Anolis sagrei: one gene and its partners. The protein of the gene in region 2 interacts with the protein of the main gene of each other region in a pairwise test. Links are inferred from orthologs where the notes say so. Each region holds a gene or a part of one and is shown on either strand. Other genes may lie near its edges. The genes, in order: CNTNAP2, MEOX2, NAA10 and OIT3.

The links.
Region 1: the proteins of MEOX2 (region 2) and CNTNAP2 interact in binary tests that used the Homo sapiens proteins (3 or more experiments, as listed by UniProt). The link is inferred for Anolis sagrei from reciprocal best matches to the Homo sapiens genes MEOX2 and CNTNAP2.
Region 3: the proteins of MEOX2 (region 2) and NAA10 interact in binary tests that used the Homo sapiens proteins (3 or more experiments, as listed by UniProt). The two-hybrid records come from large-scale screens. The link is inferred for Anolis sagrei from reciprocal best matches to the Homo sapiens genes MEOX2 and NAA10.
Region 4: the proteins of MEOX2 (region 2) and OIT3 interact in binary tests that used the Homo sapiens proteins (3 or more experiments, as listed by UniProt). The two-hybrid records come from large-scale screens. The link is inferred for Anolis sagrei from reciprocal best matches to the Homo sapiens genes MEOX2 and OIT3.

What each region holds. Positions count from the first base shown.
Region 1 is NC_090026.1:64,582,472-64,589,342, reverse strand, and holds the start of CNTNAP2 (contactin-associated protein-like 2), read left to right. Parts: upstream 1-3,866; 5' UTR 3,867-4,365; coding exon 4,366-4,465; intron 4,466-6,871. UniProt on the Homo sapiens protein: Required for gap junction formation. Required, with CNTNAP1, for radial and longitudinal organization of myelinated axons.
Region 2 is NC_090026.1:96,461,298-96,469,205, reverse strand, and holds the start of MEOX2 (homeobox protein MOX-2), read right to left. Parts: upstream 3,009-7,908; 5' UTR 2,345-3,008; coding exon 1,789-2,344; intron 1-1,788. UniProt on the Homo sapiens protein: Mesodermal transcription factor that plays a key role in somitogenesis and somitogenesis and limb muscle differentiation. Required during limb development for normal appendicular muscle formation and for the normal regulation of myogenic genes.
Region 3 is NC_090022.1:176,150,963-176,158,983, forward strand, and holds the start of NAA10 (N-alpha-acetyltransferase 10), read left to right. Parts: upstream 1-5,021; 5' UTR 5,022-5,149; coding exon 5,150-5,170; intron 5,171-7,962; coding exon 7,963-8,021. UniProt on the Homo sapiens protein: Catalytic subunit of N-terminal acetyltransferase complexes which display alpha (N-terminal) acetyltransferase activity. Acetylates amino termini that are devoid of initiator methionine.
Region 4 is NC_090023.1:177,570,373-177,577,643, reverse strand, and holds the start of OIT3 (oncoprotein-induced transcript 3 protein), read right to left. Parts: upstream 3,010-7,271; 5' UTR 2,833-3,009; coding exon 2,763-2,832; intron 1-2,762.

The DNA of each region.
Region 1 (6,871 bases), about 32 Mb from region 2:
CCAGCTTCAGGATTTTCAACCAGATAGGTTTTTCTCTGAAATAAGAACTAGATCAGTAGCAATAGGAACACAATATCAAGTTTAGATCTTCATATGTCTGCCTGCAGCTGTCACCAATCAGAACATATAAAATAAATGCATTCATTTTCCGGTCCCAATTCAAGGTGCAGGTGCTTACCTACGAAGCCCTAAACGATTTGGGACCTGCCTACCTGCGTGACCGCATCTCCGTATATGAACCCACACGATCTCTCCGATCATCTGGAGAGGCCCTGCTCACGATCCCACCTGCGTTGCAAGCACGATTGGTGGGGACGTGGGACAGGGCCTTCTCCGTGGTGGCCCCCCGACTCTGGAACTCTCTCCCCAAGGACATCAGACAAGCCCCAACATTGCCAGTCTTTAGGAAGAGCTTGAAGACGTGGTTGTTCCAGTGTGCCTTCCCAGAATAGGAAACTCCAAACATTATGTCCCAAATGCACTTTATTAGAGATTTAAGACTGTCTGCACACCACACCTATCTCCAAAAAACCTATCCATTTCACCTGTCATGCCCAGCATTTTAAAAATTTTAATAGTTACATTGGCCCGGCCTTAGTTTTTAAATGTGTCATGGTTATTATTGTCTAATGCTAATTGTTATTGTTTTAATGTTTATTGCCTGTTTTATGAGTTTATTTATTGTTGTATTTGTTATGATGTTGTTTTTTGATGTGTTGGGCTTCGGCTTCTTGTAAACCGCACCGAGTCCTTCGGGAGATGCTAGCAGGGTATAAATAAAGGTTTATTATTATTATTATTATTATTATTATTATTATTATTATTAAGTGAAGAAACTGGAAATGATTATGGGGAGTATGGTTTCATCTTCTTACTTTCCCTTTCACACTTCCTTGTCCCCTCTGTGTCCATCACTTTCTGTGCCTTAGCATGGGCACAGAAGATGGGGCTGGGGAAGGCTGCTTTTCCCTTGCTAAGCGCCCGACTGCCTTCTGTGGCCAAGACTTTTGAGTTGCCGGGGGACAGCCCTCCTCACGCCTTTCCTAGGCGAAGGCCAACGCCCGGCAGGGAAGGCGGAGGGAAGCTGTCCAGGTTTCAGCACTTCGGTTCAAATCCAATGTTGGTGGGGTTCAGAATGCTCTTTGATTGTAGGTGAACTATAAATCCCAGCAACTACAACTCCCAAATGACAAAATCTTTTTTTTTTTTTTTGAGTGAAGGACATACATTGAGTGGTTAAGTGTCTTGTGTCCAAATTTGGTGTCAACTCGTCCAGTGGTTTTTGAGTTCTGTTAATCCCACAAATGAACATTACATTTTTATTTATATAGATAAATGCAAGTGAAGAAACTGCAAATGATTATGGGCAGAGGCGGCCCTAGGAAATTTTCAATGGTAAGCAAACAGTATTTTGGTGCCCGCCCCCCCACCCACCCAACCAATCACTGATATATATTTTCTGTTCGTCATGGGAGTTCTGTGTGCCATATTTGGTTCAATTCCATCATTGGTGGAGTTCAGAATGCTCTTTGATTGTAGGTGAACTATACATCTCAGTAACTACAACTCGCATGTGTCAAGGTCTATTTTCTCCCAAGAGCGCTTCAAGAGCGCCCCTGGGCAAAATCAACTACACTGCAAATGCTTACTTTGCGTAATGGGTTGAGCCGCCCCTGATTATGGTTTCGTCTTCTTCTTTCCCTTTCACCCTTCCTTGTCCCCTCATAGAATCATAGAATCAAAGAGTTGGAAGAGACCTCATGGGCCATCCAGTCCAACCCCCTGCCAAGAAGCAGGAATATTGCATTCAAATCACCCCTGACAGGTGGCCATTCAGCCTCTGTTTAAAAGCTTCCAAAGAAGGAGCCTCCACCACACTTCGGGGCAGAGAGTTCCACTGCTGAACAGCTTTCACAGTCAGGAAGTTCTTCCTTCTGTTCAGATGGAATCTCCTTTCTTGTAGTTTGAAGCCATTGTTTCATGTCCTAGTCTCCAGGGAAGCAGAAAACAAGCTTGCTTCCTCCTCCCTGTGGCTTCCTCTCACATATTTATACATGGCTATCATATCTCCTGTCAGCCTTCTCTTCTTCAGGCTAAACATGCCAAGCTCCTTAAGCCGCTCCTCATAGGGCTTGTTCTCCAGACCCTTGATCATTTTAGTCGCCCTCCTCTGGACACATTCCACCTTGTCAGTATCTCTCTTGAATTGTGGTGCCCAGAATTGGACACAATATTCCAGGTGTGGTCTAACCAAAGCAGAATAGAGGGGTAGCATTACTTCCCTACATCTAGACACTATACTCCTATTGATGCAGGCCAAAATCCCATTGGCTTTTTTTGCCGCCACATCACATTGTTGACTCATGTTTAACTGGTTGTCCACGAGGACCCCCAGATCTTTTTCACACGTACTGCTCTCAAGCCAGGCATTGTCCCCCATTCTGTATCTTTGCATTTCGTTTTTCCTGCCTAAGTGGAGTATCTTGCATTTGTCACTGTTGAACTTCATTTTGTTAGTTTTACCCATCTCTCTAATCTGTCAAGATTGTTTTGAATCCTGCTCCTGTCTTCTGGAGTATTTATCCCTCCCAATTTGGTGTCGTCTGCAAACTTGATGATCATGCCTTCTAGCCCTTCATCTAAGTCATTAATTCACTCTGGGCAAGAGCGAAGAGAGGCCAGGGGACAGCACCATCTTGTCTCCTGCATTTGCCATCCGTTGGGGACCCCTCCCCTCAGCACCAACTGCCGCTCTGGGCCGGAGTGAAGAGAGGGGGGCCAGGGGACAGTTCCACCTTATCTCCTGTGCTATTCTAATAATATGTTATAATATAATATATAATATATTGTATTGTATAATATTGTAATGTAATGCAATATAATACTACTAATAATAATATGATATTATAATTATATATTTATATTACATGTAATATTACTAATAATATTACAGTATAATTGATATAGTGCAATATAGCAATAATTAAAACTGATATTGTACTATGTTAATAATATATTGTATGTATATATACCTTGTAAGCCGCTCTGAGTCCCCTTCGGGGTGAGAAGGGTGGCATATAAATGTCATAAATAAATAAATAAATAAATAATAAATTAATTAATACTGTGTCCATCACTTTCTGTGCCTCAGCATGGGCACAGAAAATGAGGCTGTTTTTCCCTTGCCAAGTGCCTGACTGCCTTCTGTGGTCAAGGCTTTGAGTTGCCGGGGGACAACCCTCCTCACGCCTATCCCAAGCGAAGGCCAACGCCCGGCAGGGAAGGCAGTGGGAAGCTGCTCTGGGGTTCCAGCACCTTGGACAGTGACGTGGGGAAAAAGCTCTCTGGTGTTTCAGCACCTCAGTCAGCGAGCGTGGTCCAACCTGGCGCTACAGAGACTCTGGGTTTCAGCACCCTGGATAGTGACGCGGGGAGAGAAAGCTCTCTCTAGTGTTTCAGCTCCTCGCCCAGCGAACCGGGTCCAACGCGGCGCTACCGCTGCTCTGTGGTTTCAGCACCTTGGACAGTGACGCGGGAGGCAAGCTCTCTGGTGTTTCAGCACCTCGCCCAGCGAGTGCGGTCCACCCGGCGCTACAGAGACTCTGTGGTTTCAGCACCTTGGATAGTGACGCGGGGAGAGAAAGCTCTCTGGTGTTTCAGCTCCTCGCCCAGCGAGCGGGGTCCAACCCGGCTCTAGGGCTGCTCTGGGGTTTCAGCACCTTGGACAGTGACGCGGTCCAAGCTCCCTGCTGTTTCAGCACCTCGGACAGCAGCACACTGCAAGCAGGCGCCGCATCGGAGAAGAGGCTCCGCCGGCCAGGGAGGGCCGCACTGACGGAGGCGGCGACGGGGAGGAGCTGCCGCTGCTGGCGGAGGAGCTCGGGAGGGGAGGGAGGGGAGGAGGATTTTCCCGCAGCTCTCCCTCCTTCCTCCTCCTTGCCTTCGCTGGGTCTGCTGCTTCTGCTGCCAGTCGATTCCTCCTCTTGGCAGCGAATGACGACTGGAGGCGGCCAGAGCCTCTGAGACAAGCTGCTCCTTTGCGGCCCATCGGACGCCTTGGCTGAGAAGAGCAAGGCCAGGATTGGGAGGAAGGGCTGCGCCTCTGGCTCTCCTCTTCTTCTTCTTCCTCCTCCCCCGGTGCCTCCCGCACTCCAAGGGGGAGGCGCGTTGTGAAGAAGGGGGCGCCGAAGTGCCCGGGACTTGGCTTCTCCAGGAGGAGGGGGAGTGAAGTTGCCCCCCTCTCTCAGCATACCCGAGTGAGGAGGCGGCGCCGGCCAACCCGCAAGGGAGAGAAGGCACTTCCAGCCTTTGCTTGGTTGTTTCCCTGGCTCCTGGGACCCCCGCGGCGGCGCCTGGCAGCCCAGGATGGCTGCGCTCCCCCTGCGCGCCGGCAGCCGGGCAGCGCTCTTCCTCTGGATTCTCGGCCAGCTCAGCTGCAGAGCCCGCACAGCCCCACCGGCTTCCCGTAAGTCCTGCATCCCTCCACGCAGGAGGAGAGGTTGGGTTCGGGGGCGGAGGGGGGCCGGCTTCTGCGTCGAGGGGCTGCGGCAGAGAGGGAAGTTTGGCTGTGCAGAGAGTGGCTCCCGGAGGACGGTTGGGTTGGCTGCGCTTTCGGGGAGAAAGGAGGAGAAAGTTTGGCCTCTGCTTGAGCTGGACGGCAGCCTTTGGAGCTTGTTTTCAGTTAAGAGGTGACAGCAGCAGCCGGTTGGGTTGGATGCTGGTGGACCAGAGGCGTCCTGGGCTGCAACAGAGCCAGAAAAAAGCATCTTTGACTGCTAGGCTGTCCTGTTTCTTTTTGTCGCGTGGCTTCAGGAGACTGTTGGGCTTGGCAGGGCGGGTCCCTCTCCTAACACTGCCCTGAAGATTGACTGGTCTCCCTACTGCCAGCCTTGGGCTTTGACTCAGCGCATTTCTCTCCGCTGGCCCCACTTTTCGGAGGCAGTCCTTCCCTTCTCCTTTTGAGAGCTGGGCCTTAGTAACTCTAGAGCAGGGGTCCTCAAACTATTTAAACCAGTGGTTCTCAACCTTTCTAATGCTGTGACCCCTTAATACAGTCCCTCATGGTTGTGGTGACCCCCAACCATAATATTGTTTTTGTTGCTACTTCATAACAGTCATGTTACTACTGTTATAAATCATAATCTAAATATCTGATCTGCAGGATGCATTTACATTCACTGGACCAAACTGGGCACAAATACCCAATACGCCCAAATGTAAATGCTACTGGGGTTGGGGGAGGATTGATTTTGTAATTTGGGAGTTGTAGTTGCTGGGATTTATAGTTCACTTATAATCAAAGAGCATTCTGAACTCCACCAGCAATGGATTTGAACCAAACTTGGCTCCCATGACCAATTGAAAACACTGGAAGGGTTTGATGGGCATTGACCTTGAGTTTGGGAGTTGTAGTTCACCTATATCCAGAGAGCACTGTGGACTCATGCACTGGTGGATCTGGACCAAACTTGGCACAAATACTCAATATGACCAAATGTGAACACTGGTGGAGCCTGGGGAAAATAGATTTTGACATTTGGGATTTGTAGTTGCTGGGATTTATAGTTCATTACAATCAAAGAACATTCTGAACTCCACCAACAATAGAATTGGCTCAAACTTCCCACATGGAATCCCCATGACCATCAGAAAATACTGTGTTTTCTTATGGTCTTTGGCGACCCCTCTGACACCCTCTCGCGACCCCCTCAGGGGTCCCGACCCCCAGGTTGAGAAACACTGATTTAAACAGAGGGCCCGGTCACAATCCCTCAAACTGTTAGAGAGCCGGATTATAATTTTTTTTAAAAAAAATGAATGAATTCCTATGCAAACTGCATATATCTTATTTGCAGTGCAAAAACTTAAAAATAATACAATAATTAAAATGAAGAACAATTTTAACAAATATAAAGTTATTTGTATTTCAATGGGAAGTGTGGATCTGCTATTGGCTGATTAGATAGGGTTGTTGTTGTGTGCTTTCAAGCCATTTCAGAGTTAGGTTGACCCTGAGCAAGGGCCAGGTAAATGGCCTTGGAGGGCCGTATCTGGCACTCGGGCCTTAGTTTGAGGACCCCTGCTCTAGAGGGCCTTCCACTCACTCTGACTATCAGGGATATAGCTTTCCATGATGACTACAGGGGAAGTTTTGCTTCTACTTCCTGGGTGTGTTCAGGGTTTTAGGCCTGCCATGGAATGCTGGACCTATTGTAATCCAGCAGAAAGGCATCCAAAGGCCCCTTCCACACAGCCCTGTATTCCAGAATATCAAGACAGATAATCTCACTATATCTGCTTTATAATCATAGAATCATAGAGTTGGAAGAGACCTCATGGGCCATCCAGTCCAACCCCCTGCCAAGAAGCAGGAAAATTGCATTCAAAGCACATCCATGCCTTGGTTCAGAGAAGTCAGCTATGTCTATGAGTTCATAAGTGTGTGTCTACAAAAGTACCTGGTAGGGTAATGAATGGAGACAAGGTGGTTCCAGATTTTAGAATGGATGAGTGCAATTCTACTCACTCACTGCATGTTTTATATAAAGGTCTTTAATTTCCAGGGAATAAGATTTCCTTGATCATAGAATTATAGAATCAAAGAGTTGGAAGAGACCTCATGGGCCATCCAGTCCAACACCCTGCCAAGAAGCAGGAAAATTGCATTCAAAGCACACTGGACAGATGGCCAACCAGCCTCTGTTTAAAAGCTTGAGAAGGAGCCTCCACCATACTCTGGGATAAAGAGTTCCACTGCTGAAAGGCTCTCACAGTCAGGAAGTTCTTCCTAATGTTCAGATGGAATCTCCTTTCTTGTAGTTTGAAGCCAATGCTCTGTGTCCTAGTCTCCAGGGCAGCAGAAAACAAGCTT
Region 2 (7,908 bases):
CATTATGAGTATGAGTATAAAGCGGTAATATTAAGAACAACAATATTCACATATCAAATAAATGAAAATTGCTTCATTGTGTTGTGGATTATACTGTAATTCATTGTAATTTAAGTTTACATATTTGAGACTTGAAGTATAACAACAAAGTGAAATTAAAATTTCCTTTCCATTTTTAGGTAATAGAATTTTAAGTTATTACACTTACCCATCTGCCAATTTAAAATTATATGCCCTAGAAATTTGAATTTTCTTCATACATGTTACATATTTAGTGATGATTTGGAAAAACCAATTTCTTTATAAACCACTAGGTATGTAGTATGAGAACCTGTCAACTTCTGAAAAAGTGTTATAATTGGTATAGGGAAATTATTGAAAATAGAAATAAGTCTGTTAAATATAGAAAATGCAGAAAGAAAACTATTTTTTTCATTATTCAGCTTGCATTTAAAGGAAACATGATCATGGCTTCCCTTGTATTTCTAATAATACAAGGGAAATGCTATTACTTTCTCTTTCTAACCACAACTTCCTTTTCTTTTGCATGTGCCTGTCTGTATAACTTACCTTTAGCAGTTTTATCATGGGGCCAACATCTGTCATACAAAACTGCTTGGAATGCTGGTAGCACATTTAATCCAACCCTAGTACACACATATATATATAGCCAAAGTGACACCTCGATTTACTTTCAAAATCAAACAGGCATATTACTAGCACAATAAATCCTTAACTGAGTATGTGAGTGTGTATCCTATGTAAATATGCTTCAGTAAGGAACTGAAATTGATTATAATAGAGGGACATTTTCTTAGATTTCACTAATTAGTAGATTAATAATTCAAATCCTTTTCCAAACATGTTCAGGACCCTGTATATAAAATTGTATGTAGCATGTAAAAGCTGGAAATTACAGAAGCTATTAAATACAGAACACATAACTTGTAAAAACGACAGAGGAGAGGGACGTGTATGTTACAACATTGTAGTGGAGACAAATCTGTGCCTATATAGCAGGCATGGGCAAACTTGGGTCCTCCAGGTGTTGTGGACTCCAACTCCCACCATTCCTAATAGCCTCAGGGCCCTTCCTTTCCCCCCTCAGCCGCTTAAGTGAAGGGAAGGGCCTGAGGCTGTTAGGAATTGTGGGAGTTGAAGTCCAAAACACGTGGAGGGCTTAAATTTGGCCATGCCTGCTATATAGACATGAACCTCATTTATTTCATTGGGATTTATCCCAGCCATAGGATTATGGCTTCCTCTACAAAACAAACCAAATAAAGCTTTGTAATGGATAGGAATCCATGTCTACATAGACGTAAATCCCATTTATCTCATTGGGATTTACTCCCAGTCAAAGAAGTATAGCATTAAAACATCCTGTATAAAATAAACCAAAAGAAGAAATGCCAACTTCTCGAGAGTTAAGCACTGGCTGAAAAAAGAAACTAGGGAAATAAACTGGCTGATGGAGTGGGGAAAGCGCTTCTCTTTTCCAAGTGGGGAATCCCGGAAGGGAAACCCAGGTGTCAGAGGCGCACACGAGTCCAAACTCCCCGAGAGTTCCCCCCTCTGGCCTGTTGGGAAGTGTGGACGAGCGATTTCATGGTTCAACCGCATGGCCTATGCCTTAGCCGTCATACAAAGCTTTTTGCGCCCCCCAAAAGTGACACCAGGCCAGGAGTGGCCAGGAGGAGTCTTGGGCGATTCGCCCATCCCGGGCTGCCCCTCTCCACCTCCCCTTCCCGTCTCGCAGGGAGAAGCCCCTTGTGTGCCCTTCCTTACCTGAGCTGTCGCTTTTCCGCTTGCCGACGCGCTTCTCGGCCTCCACCGGGGACAGCGCCTGCCTGCCATAATCTCCCGGCGCGCCCGTCGGGGTGCTGCTTCCCAAGCTCGGCGAGTTCGAGCACAGTCCCGGGGGGCTATTGCCCAGCTCCGGGGGTCCCCCCGAGTCGGGCTGGAGGCACAGGCTATGCCTGGACGAGGCGGGCGGCGGAGGAGGAGGTGGAGGGGGCGGCGGCGGCGAAGCCATCTGCGGAATGTGCCAATTCGTTTGCAAAGCCTGGTGAGGCGGCGGCTGTTGCGGCTGCTGCTGCTGTTGGTGATGGTGGTGATGGTGATGGTGGTGGTGATGCCCCCTGTGGTGCTGGCTGCCGAACATGCCCTCCTCGCCGGGGTACCCGGCTATGATGCAGGAGGAGGAGGAGGCCGAGAGCTCCGGGTAGGACATGTGGTGGTCCGAGCGGCCGTGCAAGGCGAGGGCGGACTGCGAGAAGGGGTGCAAGCCCTGGCCGGGGGCATGGTGGGGGCTGCGCAGGCAGCCGAAGAGCGTGTGGTCCATGGCATGCACCAAGCGGGACCCGCGCGCCTCCGGCCCCGAAAGCCCGCCGCGGGCCCAGAACCACCAGGCGCTGGTGCCCGGGTCCTCCTCGCCCCCCTCCTCCTCCTCCTCCTGCCCCTCGGCTCTCCTGCCAGCCACCCCCGAAGCCAGGCAGGGCACGTCCAGGCAAGGCGAGGCGGGCCAAGGGAGCGCAACCGGGAATAATAATCCAAGTCCTCGGCGCGCAACCGGTCCCGGCGGTGGCTTCACTGGCTTGGCTCGGAGGTGGGGGGAAAGGGGCGCGGGGCTCGGCTCTGCCGGCAAAAAGGAGGTGGTCCCGAGTGCTGCTGCTGCTGCTGTTGTGGCTGCTCCTCCGCGGGGGAAGCGGCTCGCCGAGGTTATAAATACAGGAGTGTGTAACGTGAGCCGGGGGCTGGCTTAGGCTGCACGGCGCACTGACCACAGGCAGCGGCCTCCCCGCTTCAGCCTCACAGCCCTGCCACCGGCCACTCGGAGGACCCAAGCCCTGACCCCAGGGGGGCTGTCCTCATGCCTTCTTAGCCAGGGTCCTCCTCTCAACTTCTGGCAGCCCAACTCTCTTGGCTCCCCCCACAATAGATCCCTCTCACTCTCAGCTGGAGCCACTCCTGCTGCTCCTTCCCTCTGGGCCTCATCACTACTACCCAAGGAAGGACGGGGAAGCAATGGCTAATGGGCACTTCCATTGACTAAACCTCTCTTGGGTGGTGCAGGATGCGGCTCAGAGTGTCACTTCCCTCACTCCCCCAATTGGTTCTCCTAAGCAGCGTCTCCTCCTACTTCCATGATATTGTTCTCCATGAACAACATGGGACTGGACCTTCTCCAAACCATCTGCCCCTTTCACTGGACAGGAGTGCTGAGTTGAAGTTGTTGGGTAGGGGAAATCTGGGCAAATCTTTCTGGATGATTCTTGGTTCTGTGTGACTTCCCTCACTCCCCAATTGATTCTCTCCTAAGCAGCAGACCCTGGATAAAGAAGGCATCTCCTCCTACTTCCATGATATTGTCCTCCATGAACAACATGGGATGGGGCCTTCTCCAAACAATTTGCCCTTTCCACTGGACAGAAGTGTCGAGTTGAAATTGTTGAATGGGGAAAAGCTGGGCAAATCTTTCTGGATGGAACTTGGTTCTGATCTTTCACTTTATGCCACCAGATCAAGGAGCTCAATGTGCCACAACTGAGAAATCAAGACCTGCTTAATTGGTCTCGTGTTTCAATCCTTTCTGCTTTGCCCATTTACACCATTCTTCAAGGTTGCATGGACCCAGCAGACTCCATTGCCTTTGTTATGTCACCTAGAACTAAAAGTGACCAAGTAAGCAGGCAGAGGTGGCAGCTAGAACTAGGTTGTATCTCCTGCTGCATAAATTCTTCTGTTCACCTTCCAGAGGACAGAATGGTTTGACTAAAGCTCCGTATACTCATACTGGCATCAAATGTGTCCCCTTTCAGCAAGAGTGGTGAATCTAGTCCAGGCTCTAACCCTATATTTGAAAGAACTATCCAATGTCCAAAGCTGTTTTGGAAACACCATTCAGCACCTTGGATACCTCTGCTACATTTTAGACTAAAATTTTGAACTGTTCCTCAGGTTCAGCTGCCACTGAAACCATGCTGCTTAGGAAAAAGGTGGTAAACTGGTTCCAGTTTCTCCACACTTCCCTTTGCACATGTTCTCCCACTAATGGAAACCCCCAAAATCTTGAGTTCAGAAGCTCTACTAGAATAGAGACCAGAGACAGGTAGTTAGGTTAGGGACTGGTTGTGAGACCTTAGCAGCTATCTGACACTGTTGTGAGATGTCTCATTGAAAAGAGTCAGCATGATGGAACTTCTTATGAACAATACAGACTTTTTGGTCTTTATTCTTCTCTTCATTTCAACACAGTCATCAAATTTCCTTTCCATGATCTCACTCATGAACTGATGAACAATAGCCCATCACATGTCACAGTAAACAATTTAGTCCTGGGACCTCCTTCCTCATATGTAGGCCAGTATCTGGGACACAAGTCTATTTAATGCAACATGGACACTGACTAAAGAGAAGCCTGGCCAATTGAGCTTCCCGCCACAAATATACACCTACATTCATAGTCATCAATGAGACAATTTACACATGGTTTAAAGATGTATATGGTGAGACTAAGAACCTCTTTACATGGAGGTCCAGAACCAGCTATTTGATGAGGTTGTAGATGTTTCTCCAAGGACCCTCAAGACCTTTCAGCTAAAACTGCAATACCCCAAGACAAACATACACACACTTCAGAATCACAAGAAGGTTCAAAACAAAGCTGCAGCTGGAAAAGACTTAATTTAAACCCACTGATTTTTATGGTTGCCCCTAAAGGCTATTTTATCTCAGGTATATTTTTGAATATTAGTTTTCATTTCCATGAATCGTCAGCATAAGCTGTTTTCTAATGTGTGATATGGCCTTATGAACTTTCCTTGTCTCAAGCTGGGAGCAAGCCTGGGATATCAGGGCCATATTAAATACTGGATTCACTGGACCCAGCAGCTCAGGGAAAATAAGCTTCGCATCCTCACATTTCTCTCCAAAATCCATGGGGAGAATTCTGCATAAATATTTTATATTGCAACTCTCAGGATATCTTTTCCTGGCAAGTAAAAAAGGTAAATGAAATCTTCTCTGCTTCATTGCCTCAAGAGGTTTTTTTTTAAGTGCTAGTTTCCCTGGTGCAGGATATTGGTTAAGGATACAATTCTAAACATATTTACTAGGGAGGAATTCTCACTACATTCAATGGGATTTACTTCTCAGTAAGCCTGCATGATATTGAATTGCAGGAGTATGAACTGTGAGAAAAGAGTTATAATATGGGAAGTTCATCATGATTCTAAACTTCCTTCAGCCTTGAAGACATAAAATGACCTTAGGGAAGCCACTATCCCTGGCCTAAGCATTCCTCCTGTTCACAATATGGGAATAATAACATCAGCTGAGTTTACTAGGTTATAAGGATTATTGAGGTAACATATGTGATGTGCCATAAAAATGTTATATTTTTCCCCTTGCTAAATATTAGAATTCTTACTCCCCAGCATTTTGGTGGATTGGGTGTACAGCTATTTACTGTACCACATATACAGAGAATTGATTTCGATGAAGTAATTTTGTGCTCTTTTCCAACTTTTAAACAAAAACAGTGATTGTTATAAAGCTAGTCACAAATCTAAGACTATCCTGGAATTATTTTCTTGTCAAATAGGAGCTCTCAGTCTCACTCCAAGAGTCATGCTCCATATATTTCAAAACAATCGCCTTTAAAAACCACAACTTCATTTATACAATCTTTACCAGCCTCCTCATGTCTGTCAGCAAAATAGTTTATAGTTTAACTAGTGCTGAAAAGAGATGTCTCAGTCTTGTCCTGGAGCGACTGTTGATTTTTTATTTAGAAGATGGATAACTTGGACCAGTTCTATGATGTGTAAAAGTAGCCTGTGGAAACAATGAAAGAGATCCCTCAGATCAAGATGCCTTTCACACTGGGGTGTCTCTGAAGAAATGTGCTAATAGGGATAGACAGAAACCCGTGTGCACTGGATTCAGATCCAAAGAGTCTAGAAATGAAGTTTCCTGGAGAGTTTAAACTTGCTCTCTCTCTCTCTCTGGCCCAAAATAAGCCCCTTGGCCAGAGGTCTGTTTCAGTCAAGTGAATACATTTCAATATGGCAAACAGCTGTGGACTAGCACTTCCGCTGCAGTGCAATTACAAGTGTGGACAATTCATTTTACGGCAGGGCTCCCCACACCTGTCAAGCTACTTGATTACCATCTTGACACATATTGATTTTATGGTTTTCATACTTAGAACATGAAAGGATGCTACATATGCAGAGGTTTCCTTGAAACAAATTGAGAGAACACCAATCTATATCCTCCCATATAGATTCTTTGGTTTTATAAGCTTAGGAATGATCTGTGGTCTCAGACAAGTCTGCCTTTTCTTTTTGAATCCAGGACAGCCTCTACAATGGCATGCCAGAGCTTGTTGGCACCCCCCCCCCCCACCTGATCCCTAAAACCATTATCCAAAGGTATCTCTTACCCCTATGCCAACATAATATATTAAATTGTGATGTGAATTGTTTTTACGTTTTATTATGAACATTTTAACTGACTTTCTATTTATTTATTTATCTATCTAATCTATCCACCCATCTCTTTCTTCTATCTCAGCTGCCCCGAGTCCCCCTTCCAGGGTAGAGAAGGGTGAGGTACAAATATTCGAAATAAACATAAAATAATATATTTTTGTATTCAACTGTTTTGGATTTCAACTCCCACAATTCCTAACAACCTACTGCCTGTTAGGAATTGTGAGAGTTGAAGTCCAAAACATCTGGAGGAAAAAAGTTTTCCCATGCCTGATCTATCTAGCAATTGTATCTCTCTCTCTCTCTCTCTCTCTCTCTCTCTATATATATATATATAGGGAATAGATAGATAGATAGAGGACTGAAGTTTGCCCATGCCTGATCTATCTATAGATCTATCTATAGATCTATCTACCAACTCTCTCTCTCTCTCTCTCTATATATATATATATTTGTATAGATAGATAAATATAGAGGACCGGTTTGTCCATGCCTGATCTATCTATATATCTAGTATCTGCCAACTGTATATATCCCTATGTCTGTGTTTATAGATAGATAGATAGATAGATAGATAGATAGATAGATGATAGATAGATACATGGAAATCGACAGAGAAGCAAAGTTTAACCATGCTGTATCTATCTATCTATGTACCAACTATATATCTCCCCCCTTTCCTATATCTAGTTGTATAGATAATGGATGGATGGATAGACAGATAGATGGAGGACTGACGTTTGCCCATGCCTGTTCTATCTATCTATCTATCTATCTATCTATCTATCTATCTATCTATCTATCTATCTATCTATCTATCTATCTATCTATCTACCAGCTGTATCTCTTCCCCTTTCCTATATCTAGTTGTATAGATAAATGGATGGATGGATGGATGGATGGATAGATAGATAGATAGAGGACTGAAGTTTGCCCATGCCTGATCTCTCTCTCTCTCTCTCTCTCTCTCTCTCTCATCTATCTATCTATCTATCTATCTATCTACCAACGATATATCTCTCACTCCCTATATAAATGTGGATGGAAGGATAGCTAGCTAGCTAGCTAGCTAGCTAGCTAGATAGATAGATAGATAGATAGATAGAGGACTGAAGTTTGCCCATGCCTGATCTATCTATCTATCTATCTATCTATCTATCTATCTATCTATCTATCTACCAACTATATATCTCTCACTTCCTATATAAATGTGGATGGAAGGATAGATAGATAGATAGATAGATAGATAGATAGATAGATAGGTGGAGGACTGAAGTTTGCCCATGCCTGATCTATCTATATATCTATCTACCAAATGTATCTCCCTCTTCCCCCTATATCTATGTGGATAGATAGATAGACAGAGGACTAAAATTTGCCTACCTATCTACCTATCAACTGTATCTTTCTC
Region 3 (8,021 bases), on a different chromosome or scaffold from region 2:
GCCTCCTGCCATAGATATATCTAGCATGCCTGAGGACCTTTCTACACTGCCATATAAAATCCAGGTTGTCTGCTTTGAACTGGATTATATCACAGTGTAGACTGATATAATCCACTTCAAAGCAGACAATGTGAATTGTCTACTTTGATAATCTGGATTATATGGCAGTGTAGAAGGGGCCTGAGGAAGGATTTCTACTCTACCCATCTCCCCATTACAAATGATTTCTCTGTGAAGGAATAGCCCCACTAAAAACTAATTTTCCATCACTAACAAACCTCATCCCAAGGCCAACTGAAACAGAATGAATCTGCATAAGGTAAAAGAATTCAACAACTTGTGTAACACCATACCAAGTCTTAAAAGATTTCTGAAAATAAAAAAAAACACCTTATGTCCATGCATCTCCAGTCATAGGAATGGAATGGGGAAAGATTTTTTTTGTTTTCAGTCAGTCACTGATTATTCAGATTTGATCAAATTATTCTCTCTAGAAATTTCTTCAGTTCTTCAGTGTCGCTCTGTGGAGAACCTCCACCTGAACAGCTCTGTAGCAATCTCTATGGCAGTGATCCTCAAACTTTGAATCTTGACATTTAGGAGTTGTAGTTGCTGGGATTTATAGTTCACGTACAATCACAGAGCATTCTGAACCCTACCAACGATAGAATTGGGCCAAACCTCCCACATAGAACCCCCATGTGGGCCACAGCAATGCGTGGCAGGGGACGGCTAGTGTATGTGTGTGTGTGTGTGTGTGTGTATATAAGTCTACTCGTATGGGACTCTGGTGCTCATCTCCATTTCTAAGCCGAAGAGCCGGTGTTGTCCGTAGACGCCTCCAAGATTACGTGGCTGGCATGACTACATGCAGCGCCATTACCTTCCCGCAGAAGCGATACCTATTGATCTATTCACACTTGCATGCTTTCGAACTGCTAGATGGCAGGGATATAAAAGTTAAAATAAAATTAAAATGCCATTTAAAAACTCAGCATTGCTAAGCCAGAAACATAAATTTGCCTTAGGCCATGTAGGCAAGATTGAATGGCTTTCCTGATTTTATAGTTTAGGGTGCAACCCTAAACATACAAAGGTGTGAGCCCTGTAAAGGAGAAGAATTTACAAGTGAGTGAGTCGCTTGTGAATAAATATGCATAAATCAGTTAGTGAACACACAGACTTAAATCCTAATTTTTTTGAAAAGCATATCAAAGTTGCTCACTATCGCATGATTAGTTTCTAAAAATAATACAATTATGAACACAAAGAGGCTTAATAAGGAGCCGAGGTAGAGAAAATAACATGGGAAGAAGAAAATGAGTGCTGATTTGTGTGCTGATCTTCTCCAAACAGGGCATTTTCACTGGTTGTGCTTAGATTTGGAATGCATGGCACTTGGAAGATGTTTTCAGTAGACAAAAAAAAGGAGGTGAGCTGTGATCCTTAACTGAATCTGATCAGGGCCTACAAGGAAAGCTTGTACTCCAGGAAATAAAGGGTCAGCCTAGAAGTCCCACCATGAATGAAGCAATCCTCATCTATAGTCACTACCATACTCTCAGGAAATGCAGCTCTGACATGCCAGGGAGTAAATACTGGGGGTTTTTTTCCCCAGCGGAAGTGAACAAATGTGCTCTTTATGACTGCCGCCTGCTGGACAAGAATATAATCCTATCTTCGGGATCTATATTATTTATCCATGGCTTGCTTTTCAACAAGTGTCTCTTAAACCTTTTCCACTTGCTTCCCCTTATTATCCATTAAGTTTTTGTGTGTATAGGTATAGAACATAGGTATAAAAAGCAAACATTTACTGATAACAAATCAATATTTAGGGGACTTGCTACACAGGCTAATTTTCCTTTTTCTGGAGTACAGCTGAAGCATCTTCTGCAGATGTGTAAACGCTGCACATCGTCATTGCTAACAGATTTGTGTAAATGTGTGGCATTTGGAGACCTTTAACTGTTGCCAAATTTTGTGTGACCCCAGCATTGAACTAAGGGGACCCCATTTGGGGCCCGGAACCACAGTTTAAGAAGCAGTGAACTAAATAAAAGGCGGTCCACAGCATTTCTGATTTTAAGTGCTGCCACTCACAACTTCAAAGATCCAGAATTACAGTAAGAAAAAAAATTACCAGTTGAGTACCCTTTATCCGAAAAGCTTGGAATCAGAAGTATTTGGGATTTCAGAATGTTTGCATATAAATATATAGCCTGAAGGACTCTTTCTTGCTGAGGTGTTCCTGTGAGTATCTCTATAGCTCTTAGAACGTGATTTCTTGATTTAAGGTGTTGGCGTGCTGGCTGATATCCAAACAGAGGATGGGTTGCAGATGTCACTGCCTTGGTCCTTTTATTATTGGCTGCTACTTCGTGGCGGATGTCAAGTGGTGCAATACTGGCTAAACAGTGTAATTTCTCCAGAGGTGTTGGACACACTGTCTCATTAAGAGCCACATCCACTGTATTGGCATGGTGAGATGTGTTCCAGGCTGGGCATGCATACTCAGCAGCAGAGTAGCAAAGCGCAAGGGCAGATGTCTTCATTGTATCTGGTTGTGATCCCCAGGTTGTGCCAGTCATCTTTTGTATGAAATTGTTTCTAGTGCCCATCTTTTGCTTCGTATTCAAGCAGTGCTTCTTATAGGTCAGAGAACAGTCCATGGTAACTCCCAGGTATTTTGGTGTGTTCCAATGCTCCAGTGGTATTCCTTGCCAGGTAATCCTCAGAGCTCGAGTCCAACCCCCTGCCACGCAGGAAAAATATCTGTATTTATTTTATTTATATCCTATATTTATACCCTGCCCTTCTCACCCCCAAGGGGGGCTCAGGGCGGCCTCACAAACACCATACGGTGTCATCATAATAAAAAAAACCCAATACATTAAAATATTAAAAATATTAAAACAATAATTAAAACAATTGATTAACACACACCTATTAAAATCAAAGTCTAAAATCCAGTCGTGGTCAAATCATTGCCATAACTGTTAAAATCTTCTTTTACTTGCTGCTCACTAATTGAACGCTTAGTCCCATAGCCAGGTCTTGGATTTTTCTTCTAAAAGACAGGAGGGAGGTGGCCATTCTGATGATTCTGGGGAGAGCGTTCCACAGGCGGGGGGCCACTGACGGGAAGGCCCTGTCCCTGTCCCCACCAGTCAAGTTTGCCATGTTGGTAGGCATCTGGAGAGCAGGGCCTCTCCAGATGATCATTTTCGAGATGGTTCATATCAGGAGATACGTTCGGACAGATAGTCTGTGCCAGAACCGTTTAGGGCTTTAAAGGTTAAAACCAGTACTTTGAATTGTGCTCGGAAGCTGATCGGCAGCCAGTGGAGCTGGCGTAACAGAGAAGTTATGATCCCTATACGCCGCTCCAGTGAGCAGCCTGGCTGCCAACCGTTGGACTAATTGAAGCAGAGATGGCCATCCAGCCTCTACTAAAAAGCTTCCAAAACACCCGAGCCTGAGGGTTCCGCTGTTGAACAGCTCTTACAATCAGGAAGTTCTTCCTAGTATTCAGGTAGAATTTCCTTACTGCCATTTGAACCCATGGCTCCATTGAGTCCTAGGGCCCTTCCACACAACTGTCTAAAATCCACAGTGAATTACATTATATGGCAGTGTGGACTCAGATAACCCAGTTCAGAGCAGAAATTGTGGATTATCTGCCTTGATAATCTGGTTTGTATGGCTGTGTGGAAGGGCCTCTAGTGTCCAGAGCAGGAGAAAAGAAGACTGCTCCCTCTTCCTATGACAGCCTTTCAGTGAGATTTCAATTCATTGTATTGTCGAAGGCTTTCATGGCCGGAATCACTGGGTTGTTGTAGGTTTTTTCGGGCTATATGGCCATGGTCTAGAGGCATTTTCTCCTGACGTTTCGCCTGCATCTATGGCAAGCATCCTCAGAGGTAGTGAGGTCTGTTGGAACTAGGAAAATGGGTTTATATATGGCCCTAGGTAATTTTCAACGGTAAGCAAACAGTACTTTGCCCCTCCCCCCCCCAAACCAATCACTGATATAGATTTTCTGTTCGTCGTGGGAGTCCTGCGTGCCATATTTGGTTCAATTCCATCATTGGTGGAGTTCAGAATGCTTTGATTTTAGGTGAACTATACATCTCAGTAACCACAACTCGCATATGTCAAGGTGTATTTTCCCCCAAGAGCGCCTCAAGAGCGCCCCTGGGCAAAATCAACTATACTGCAAATGCTTACTTTGCGTAATGGGTTGAGCCACCCCTGTATATATCTGTGGAACGACCAGGGTGGGACAAAGGACTCTTGTCTGTTGGAGCTAGGTGTGAATGTTTCAACTAACCACCTTGATTAGTATTTGATGGCCTGGCAGTTGTTTTCAATTCATTGGAAGCGTGGTGGTGGGAAATTTTTTTGCAGAAACAAACTAATGAATTTATTGGGCGTTTGTAGGCCACAATGGCTGGATCTACACTGCCCTTATATCCCAGGATCTGATCCCAGATTATCTGGCTGTGTAGACTCATATAATCCAGTTCAAAGCAGATAATCTGGGATCAGATCCTGGGATATAAGGGCAGTGTAGATCCAGCCATTGTGGCCTACAAAAAAACCCAATACATTCATTAGTTTGTTTCCCACCTCTATAACACTTGTTAATTGGGAACTTTATTATAAGAGCGGGATTGGCAATCAATCATCACCTTTTGTAGGGTTTCTGGTACCGTGGGCGTCAATCGACCTCAGTCTAGTATCTAATAGGCTCCCTCAGCAATCAATCAAAAGCCACCTGAGTGCAGTCTCATTGACGGGTTTGTTCTCTAGAGAGGCTAAAAGAGGCGGGGACTGTCTTCCTAAAAGGGAGTGAGCAAGAAGCTTTGTGATTGGCCAGAGGGGCGACTCATAGACACACCCTGATTGGGTGTTGAGGAGGAGGCCTTTGCTCAGATTTGGATGGTGTTTCAAATTGGACAAGAGAGGGGGTAAATTCTGCATCGTGATTGGCTAGGGGATTTCTCTTCTCTGCTTTGCCATTGGCTGCGCGGCAGAGCTGGCCGCGTTCTTCCCGTTCTCGCCCAGCCCTTGTCTTCCCGGCACAGCTACAGGGCGTCGGTGGTTCCAGTGGCCGCGTGAGAGCCGAGAAAGAATCGTCGCTGCCATGAACATCCGGAATGCGCGGGTTCGAGTCCCGGTTGGGGCGGGAAAGGGTGGGCTTGGGGCGAGGCTGCCAGTGGTGGGAAGAGAGACAGAGAGAGAGGAAGGCCTGCCTTGGAGTTCACCCGCCCAGTCCAGAGAAAGGAGGGCAACAAAAAGAAGGCCCTCCTCATACCATATTTCAGTGGTTCCCAACCTTTGGGCCTCTGGGTGATTAGAACTTCAGCTCCCAGAATTCCTGACAATTGGCCCAGGTGGTTGAGGCTTCTGGGAGTTGTAGTCCAAAATCTCCCCAAAGGTTGGGAATCACAGGCCTAGTTCTTGAGGAGTGTGAGTGTGTCAACCAAGCCTATATCTGTTGGTGTCTGCATTCTCACAGGGATGCATCTACATTGAGGAATTAATGCAGTTTGATACCGCGTTAATTGACATGGCTTAATGCTGTGGAATCCAGGGATCTGAGGCACCTGGTAAAACAAGGGTTCCTTCCACACAGTTATATAAAATCCACATTGAACTGGATTATATGGCAGCGTGGACTCAGATAACCCAGTTCAAACCAGATGTGGAATTTTCTGCCTTGATGTTCTGGGTTATATGACTGTGTGGAAGGGCTCCCCCCCCCCCCCAAGCCTCTGGTGACACAGTGAACTTGTTGACTGAAAGGTTGCAGGTTCGAATCCGGGGAGCGACGTGAGCTTCTGCTGTTAGCCCCAGCTTCTGCCAACCTAGCAGTTTGAAAACATGCAAATGTGAGTAGATCAATAGGTACTACTCCAGTGGGAAGGTAATGGTGCTCCATTTAGTCATGCTGGCCACATGATCTTGGAGGTGTCTATGAACAATGCCGGCTCTTCGGCTTAGTAATGGAGATGAGCACCAACCCCCAGAGTCGGACTTAGATTATCTTGGGTTACATTCCCAAGATAATCTAATTCTGTAAATTTGTGCAAATACAGATATTCCCAAATCCAAAGTATTTTAGATAAGGGATACTCTACCTGTATTTGTTGCTCTTCTTTTAATTTTCTTGATAGTTTAGTTACATTTTTACTTTTGGACAGTGTAACTTTTTTCATCAGTACATTGGGCCTTCAGTATTGGCTGGGTTTTGGTTCCAGGACCCTCTGTGGATACCAGAAGCCATGGATCCTCATGGCACATTGTACACAGTGGCATAGTAAAATAATGTCACTTAGAAAAAAATGGTAAAACAAGGAAAAATATTTTCAGACCATGGATTATAGAATCCATGGGTTCAGAATTAGATACAAAGGAATGAATACACACACACACATATGAATCCCAAACTGAGAAAAGGTGGGCTATGAATATAATAATAATGGGAAAGCCAAGGGGAAAGAGTTATTGGGTGAAATATTTTGATTTTGACTTTCCACTATTAGGCAGTTTAGGGCAATTCTGTTGTTACTTTTTTAGGTAGCCAGCATTAGAAAAATAGAATCAGAGTTGGAAGAGGCCTCGTGGGCCATCCAGTCCAACCCTCTGCCAAAAAGCAGGAAAATCACATTCAAAGCACCCCTGACAGATGGTCATCCAGTCTCTGTTTAAAAGCCTCCAAAGAAGGTGCCTTCACCACACTCCGGGGCAGAGAGTTCCACTGCTGAACAGTTCTCACAGTTAGGAAGTTCTTCCTCATGTTCAGATGGAATCTCCTTTCCTACAGTTTGAAACCATTGCTCCATGCCTCAGTCTCTAGGGCAGCAGAAAACAAGCTTGCTTGCTTCTCCCTATGACTTCCCCTCACATATTTATACATGGCTATCATGTCTCCTCTCAGCCTTCTCTTCTTCAGGCTAAACATGCCTAGCTCTTTTAAGCCGCTCCTCATAGGGCTTGTTCTCCAGACCCTTGATCATTTTAGTCGCCCTCCTCTGGACACATTCCAGCTTGTCAACATCTCCCTTCAATTGTGGTGCCCAGAATTGGACACAATATTCCAGATGTGGTCTAACCAAGGCCATCTTTTTCATACATACTGCTGTCAAGCCAGGAATCCCCCATTTTGTATCTTTGCATTTCATTTTTTTTCTGCCTAAGTGGAGTGACTTGCTGTTGAGCTTCATTTTGTTAGTTTTGGCCCATCTCTCTAATCTGTTATGGTTGTTTTGAATTCTGCTCCTGTCTTCTAGGATATTAGCTATCCCTCCCAGTTTGGTGTTGTCTGCAAACTTGATTATCAAACTTGATGATCATAATCCTTTTCCACTGATTACATGAAAGACGATATGTTCTAGAATTACTCTAGATGATTTCATGAAAAATGCCTTGCTGGATCAAATCTGAGCCTGTCAATGGTTGTGGGTTCTCAAGGTGGAATAAAGGAGCAATATACCTCAGGATATTGGATCCTGAAGGCAAACAAGGTAGCCTTCCTTCCTTGTTTATGAATTGCCAGAGGCATCTGGGTATTTCTTGTCAGAAAGAAAAGGTCGGAGATTCTCAATATTTAATATTTCAAGGTACTCTTGCTCTTCTGAAAATGGAAGAATTATATCTGGTTATTACAGATCATAGTGCTTGACAGTCTATTTGGACTCAGTTTGATCCACCTGGTCAACTGTTACTGTTTGGGTTTGTATTATGCTTTGGGGAAATTATTAGGGCCTGAAAATAATGGCAACATAGTGGTTGTGATCATTATTGTGAACACAGCTTGTCTTCACACTATTTGGAGATATTGTTTAACATTTATATATGCTAGCCACACTCACCTAGTGGAAGGGATGGTCTTTTGATGGTCATTGCTGCTTTTGTTTATTTTCTCATCTTTTTTTGTCTGCCTTCCCCTTCCAGCCGGAAGACCTGATGAACATGCAGCACTGCAACCTCCTTTGCTTGCCGGAGAACTATCA
Region 4 (7,271 bases), on a different chromosome or scaffold from region 2:
AAGCCAACCTTAAAAACTCTGGCATAGACACTGAGAACTGGGAAGCCCTGGCCCTTGAGCACTCCAGCTGGAGGTCAGCTGTGACCAGCAGTGCTGTAGAATTTGAAGAGGCATGAATGGAGGGCGAAAGAGAGAAATGTGCCAAGAGGAAGGCGCGTCAAGCCAACCTTGATCAGAACCATCTTTTACCGATGCCCTCACTGCGGGAGAAGATGCAGATCAAAAATAGGGCTCCACAGTCACCTACGGACCCACCAGTACACTGATCTTGGAAGACTATCCTACTCGGACAATGAGGGATCGCCTAAGTAAGTAAGTAAAAGCAATATATATATATACAGAGAGATATATATATATACAGAGAGAGAGAGAGAGAGAGAGTTTGAAGGGACTCCAAAGCCCATCCAGTCCGACCGCCTACCATGCAGCAACGCACAATAGAAACTCTGTGCTTTCTGTATACCACCCTACAGTGGCATTTTCCCAATTGCTATTAATGAGGAGATTATGCATTCAAGGAAAAGACTTGATTGATCTCAAGGAAGGAAGCACTGTGCCAACAGAAGGAACTGTGTGCTGATGAGAAGAGCATCGGAGCTATTCCTAGCAAGCAGAACTTCGGAAAACTCTGAAAACATTACAAGTGGAAGAGGCGAGAGAGAGAGAGAGAAATGTAATAAAAATGTTCATTTCACTTCTCATCAGAGTTGTACTTAATCTTCTGTGAGCGGCTTCTGCAGCAAAAGTTTGCAGCTTAATCTTTGCATATATTTAACACCTGATTAAGCATCAGTTAGCCATAACTGGCTGGGTCTGCCATTGCGGAAGGATTTATGATAATGTTTTTCTTGACTAAGGCCAATTCATTACTTTTGATCGTAGTTATACTAAAATACCCAATTGCTCTGATTAGGCACATCCGAACTGAGCAAAAAGCTTTTTCGTTCTTTTTGAGATTGGATTCCCACCAAGCCGCTTCTCCCACTGTTGTATTACTTAATCTAAATTTTAGGAAATGTGAGACACTGTTGGCAGCACCGTTGAGAAACAAGGATGCATTCTGAACTAATGAGAAAATACCCTGGACAGAAATGAACAGTGACTGCTGGCTGCCTATTATTTGAGAGGCGAGGGTTGCCTGTGATTACAATAGTTATTCTGGTTGCAATTCAGCATGATTCTATTTCAGCTGTTCAAGCTGCGTGAGTACCTTTGCTCAGGAAGCCAAAACTGTACTATCCATATGCAAGAGGAAGGTATTGAGAAACACTAAAAAAAACTTCAGAGAGAAGCCATAGTATGCAATAAGTAAGCTATAATATAATATATTGTCGAAGGCTTTCATGGCCGGAATCACTGGGTTGTTGTAGGTTTTTTCGGGCTATAAGGCCATGTTCTCCTGACGTTTCGCCTGCATTTATGGCAAGCATCCTCAGAGGTAGTGAGGCCTGTTAGAACTAGGAAAGTGGGTTTATATATCTATGGAAAGACCAGGGTGGGGCAAAGAACTCTTGTCTGCTGGAGCTAGGTGTGAATGTTTCAACTGACCACCTTGATTCGCATTTGATGGCCTGGCAGTTTTTTGAATTTAAATTAAAACCATTTAAAATAGTGCAAATTCAATTAGTTGGCCACATGTAAATCTGAGTTCTACAATCAACAACTTGGTGCGAAGCCTGTCCATAGTCCATTTACCATAGCATGGTCGTCATTTATCAACCTACTATCCAAATACTGGTCCCATTGACAGGTTTTCAACTTTTTCATGAAGGACAAGAGGGAAGCAGTTGACCCAGTTTTGCTGGGGAGCAAGTTCCACAGGTGGGGTGGGGGGGCCACCACCAAGAAGGCCCTGTCTCTCATCCCCGCCAAGCGTGTTTGCAACAAAGGTGGGATTGAGAGCAGGGCCTCCCCGGAGGATCATAAGCTTCGAGGTTTTTAGCGTTCTCTGCCAACTTGTACTCGTGCCTCACCAAACTACAAACCTCAGTCCATTTACCATAGCATGGTCATCATTTATCAACCTACTATCCAAATACTGGTCCCATAGCCAGGTTTTCAACTTTTTCCTGAAGGACAAGAGGGAAGCAGTTGACCCAGTTTTGCTGGGGAGCAAGTTCCACAGGTGGGGTGGGGGGGCCACCACCAAGAAGGCCCTGTCTCTCATCCCCGCCAAGCGTGTTTGCAACAAAGGTGGGATTGAGAGCAGGGCCTCCCCGGAGGATCGTAAGCTTCGAGGTTTTTAGCGTTCTCTGCCAACTTGTACTCGTGCCTCACCAAACTACAAACCTCAGGTTTCCATAGCATTGAGCCATAGAAGTTAAAATAGGGTCAAACTCCATTAATTCTACAGTTGAGAGGCAACTTGAATCAATTTACAGGATCTGATGTCAAGTCAACCTACTGCATATAATGTAAGGAGATACTGATTCAAAGGTTTACATATTTGTGACATTTACACGGAAATCTTAATACCTGGAGAGAGGGAATCATACTTTCCAACACAGGCAGGATTCTGTGTTACTGTGAAAATATAAGGTTTGCAACCTTGACTTTATATCCGATTTTGGAAAAGTTTCTTTTTCAGGCTTCAACAGTGGTCTCTGGAAAACACTTGTGAAGAAGTAATTTTTGCGAGATCTGCTTTAAGATTCCATCATCCTTCGTAACACCTGTGTATTTACTGCACTAAAAGCTGACTTGCCAAGGAGACTTAACAGGACATGTACAGGCATTGAATAAATAGTTTAGCATCTACTCACCCACTGTATTATCCTGTAAAGGCTGTGCTTTGGCCCGGAGGCAGAAGGACAAAAGGAGAAGCAGAAACATCCCTCCTTGTCCAGGGCGACTTGTGGTATCAGAATAATCCTGTTAAACGCACTCAATTGATTTGCTGTGATGTGTCTTCAGTCTGAATGTGGAACCAAGCTCGGAGTGGATCAGAGAAAGACTAGTCAGGATGCTAGGGGTTTTATCAGAGGAAAAGGATGAGGGGATACGGAGGGGTCATTTGTAGCCTTGACCTACTCTGTCTTTTAGAGACAAAAAAGACTTTTAAAAAAATGTCACCCATTTGGTATATTTTCAAACCCATCCTCCAATTGTTCTCTTGATTTCCAGTGACACCTCTACTATCTAATCTGTAAAGTGTGACCAAGAAAGGGCTACATCCTGTGCAAACGGGGATGGGGAGGAAAGATGGGTCATCTTTATCACCATTTTAATTTCCCTCCATTCTATTTCCTTAAAAGAGGAAAAGGTGACCAGAGAGATTCTTGCTCTGAGGAAACAGCACATGAAGGAACAAAGTTTCAGTCCTGAAGTTTCCAAATGGGAACATAAATGTATAATGGCGCACAATTGAGACTCGTGAGCCAACTGCAACCGTACCTTGCGAAGGCTGATCTGCCCGGGGTGGTCCATGCCTTGGTCACCTCCAGATTGGACTACTGCAATGCGCTCTACATGGATCTGCCCTTGAAAACGGCTCAGAAGTTCCAACTGGTCCAACGAGCAGCGGCCAGGATGTTAACTGGGGCCCTTACAGAGAGGTTGTCAACCCTCCTGTTCAAGGAGCTCCACTGGCTGCGGTTCATTTTCCGAGCCCAATTTAAGGTGCAAGTGCTTACCTACAAGCCCTGAACGGTTGGGACCATCCTACCTGCGTGACCGCATCTCCGTCTACGAACCCACACGTTCACTTCGGTCATCTGGAGAGGCCCTGCTCGTGATCCCGCCTGCGTCGCAGCCGCGTTTGGTGGGGACACGAGACAGGGCTTTTTCTGTGGTGGCCCCCTGACTCTGGAACACCCTCCCCAAAGATCTTAGACAGGCCCCTTCCCTGGCAGTCTTTAGAAAGAACTTGAAGACCTGGCTGTTCCGGTGTGCCTTCCCAGAATAAGAAATCTCCAAGTCCCATAAGCACTTTATTAAAACTCAGATTGCCGCACACTGCACACTGCACTTGCCCTATAAGCCTTATATACCACCTGTCACATCAGCACTTTTAATCCTGTACCCATCACTCTGGCCCGGCCCAGTTTTATTGTGTCTTAGTGTATTGTTTATTGCTTGTTGTTATATTGCTTTAATTGTTTTTAATTTGCCTTAGGTTTTGTATTGTTATATTGTGTGTTGAGGCCTTGGCCTTTGTAAGCCGCATCGAGTCCTTTGGGAGATGCTAGCGAGGTACAAATAAAGTATAATAATAATAATAATAATATGGAATGGAGTAGATAAGGAATATCCTTCTCAACTCAATCAGGTAAAGAACAAGAGTTAGGATGGGTTAAAGTACTGTACAGAAAGCTGGCATGATGGTCAGGTGTTGGTCCTAACTTGGTAGTCAGAAGTAGGGCAGTTGAAGTATTTTGCACTGAACAGGACAGCAAAAATACAATGTAATGACCAGAACTAAAATGTCCCTTTGACACACCATGCCAAGTGAAACTTTGCAGTATGTTATAAAAGCCATGGGAGAAATCCAGAAACTTGTTCGAATGAGTTCTAGATTCATCCTAAACCTTGCCCCATCTTAAAATTTGGCACATGAAGCAGAGGACACACTGCTACATAATAAAAGCCAAATAGTAAACACCGATATATAGCAGACACAAATGAAAAACCGATGCTCTTACTGCAGAGCTATCAAAGAGAATAGCTGGTTTTGGTGCTTCCGAAATATAAACTGCCACTGAAGGTTGACAGTACAGCCAGTCAAGGGAAGCAATGTGCTGTCTATTTACAAGCTGGTGTACTTCACCATTCAGGATCAAATAAAAAAGTGATAAGTTTCAGCTTCCCATTTCTGATGTGAAATACAATGACATATAAGAAAGATATTTCCTGGCCATTTCTTTTTCTCCTCCCAAGCTCAGTTCATGTTTGCTGCCTAGTGTTATTCATTTGGACATTAGTTGCTCCCTCTATGGTTGATCAATGGGAATCCATTAAAACCAGATAATCACAATGGCCTCTTGTTTATGTCTGTCTGCACTGAAGAGAGAAACTGGTGCAAAGCCATTACCCTTCATCATATGTTGTTAGCTTACACAAGACTGTAGAGTTTCCAGCCTCCAGTGACTTGTCTTTCTGTATTAAGGATTAACGTTTGAAATGCGTCTATATAAGCAGAGACGTACAGTATACTGCGGGGGGGGGGGGGGGGAACCTGCAAGAAATTTCCTGTTTCCACAGTGCCACTTTCTAACTTATAATTCACTCTGCATTACACGAATCTACACTGACCATATGATGCAGTTCAAACTGCATTATATGGCAGTGTAGATGGAGTCTTAGATGCAAGAGACAGTGGCCCAAGTTAAAATCACTTTTCCCCATGGGATCCTATTTATCTGCACCACAGCCCATAAGATGCAAGAGACAGGGCCCCAGGTTAAATGGGATCTTATTTTTATGCACCACCCAAGTTAAAATAACTTTTCCCCATGGCAGGCCCATAGCCAGGATTTTTATTTGGGGGGAGCTGAGTTTGATTCGGGGGGGGGGGGGTGAATCTGAGTGAAAGAGGGTCTACCCTAGCAAACCTTTTGTATCGTTACCCCAATACCCCCATGCTTATGGGATATATTGAGCATGGTGATCAGATCATGATATAAACAAACATAACAGTTTAAATAATGCACCAGTAAGGCCTTCTCGCGGACCACCATGATAATTTGGGGGAGGGGCTGAAGCCCCTCAAGCGCCCCACCCCAGCTACATGCCTGCCCCATGGGATCCTATTGATCTACACCGCAGCCCATAGGATAAAAGAGACAGGGGTCCAAGTTAAAATCACTTTTCCCCATGGGATCCTATTTATCTGTATGCACCACAGCCTATAGGATGCAAGAGACAGGGGCCCAGGTTAAAATCACTTTACCCCATGGGATCCTATTTATTTGCACCACAGTTCATAGAATACAAGAGACAGTGGCCCAGATTAGTGCTAAGCTTAGTGACAGCCTGCCAGGTAGGTGCTAAGTTTGATTGAATTCCATTGTTGGTGCAGTTCGTAATGCTCTTTGATTGCAGGTACAACTGCAACTCCCAAATATCTGGGTTTATCTTCCCCAATCCTCTCCAGTATTTTCTTTTGGTCATGGGAGTTCTGTATGCCAAGTTTGGTCCAAGTCTGTAATTCGTGGGGGGTCTTAGCTGTCTGTGGAAGTCAGAGCTGAATCTGTTGAAGGTACTGCAAATCCTATCATCCCTTGTTTATACCGACCCAAACATATTGTTTTTCTGATTAATCACTGTTTTAATTAGATTCCATTTGTATCTATGAAAATATATCCTGCATGTCAGATATTTACAGTACGATTCATAACAATAGCAAAATTACAGTTATAAAGTAGCAACGAAAATAATTTTATGTTGGGGGTCATCACAACATGAGGAACTACATTTAGGGGTCATGGCATTAGAAAGGTTGAGAACCACCGATTTAGTCACTACATGCTTTAAACAGAGTGGATTTATTGCTTGTGTTTTGCTTGCAACTTCAGACTGCTTTTTGTTAGTTGCCAAGGAGTGTTATAATTGATAAGAGAATGCCATAAAATTTGAAACTTTCCATCAAAATGCTTTAAATTTTCCTTTAAATGTAACCAAAAAAGGATTTATTTAGTCTCATAAGAGTACCCCCATTACAAGTAATTCCAAGCACTGAATTTCTGTGCACACTTTTGGAAGAAATAGGGTCATTTGTTGGAGTGAATCCTCCTAGTGTGATTGGAAAAGTTTGCAAATCCTGTTTTGACTCACCAATTTGACGGGAAGCCATAGAGTGCATTCATTTTCTGTAATCTTTTCTACCAAATATAGTTTCGACAAAATGCAGGACATAGGAAGAAGAAAAATAACACTTATCACGGATGATGTGAAATTGCCACACATGGCAAGTCCTGGTCTGCAGTTCACTGGAGGTTGCATAGTCCAGATAAGCTTGGACATGCTTCTAAGATTGATAGCTCGAGGTCAAGGAACTAGGAAGATCACATTTTGGTAAACAAGTTACACTAGAAATCCATGAGTTCATATCATGCTCTAGGAAATGTTAAATCAACAACAAACAAACAAACAAAATTGCTACTGGAATGAAATGCAGACAGGAAAGATAAAAATAATCCAACACAAAAGTGCAAAAATAGACAAAATAAACATTTTGGAGAAAAGGGGAGAACCCATGGGCTAATAAAATCCAAATATCTCAATGCTCCATCCTTACATTTGGCAATATAAGGTTGGCCTCACACATCTCACTA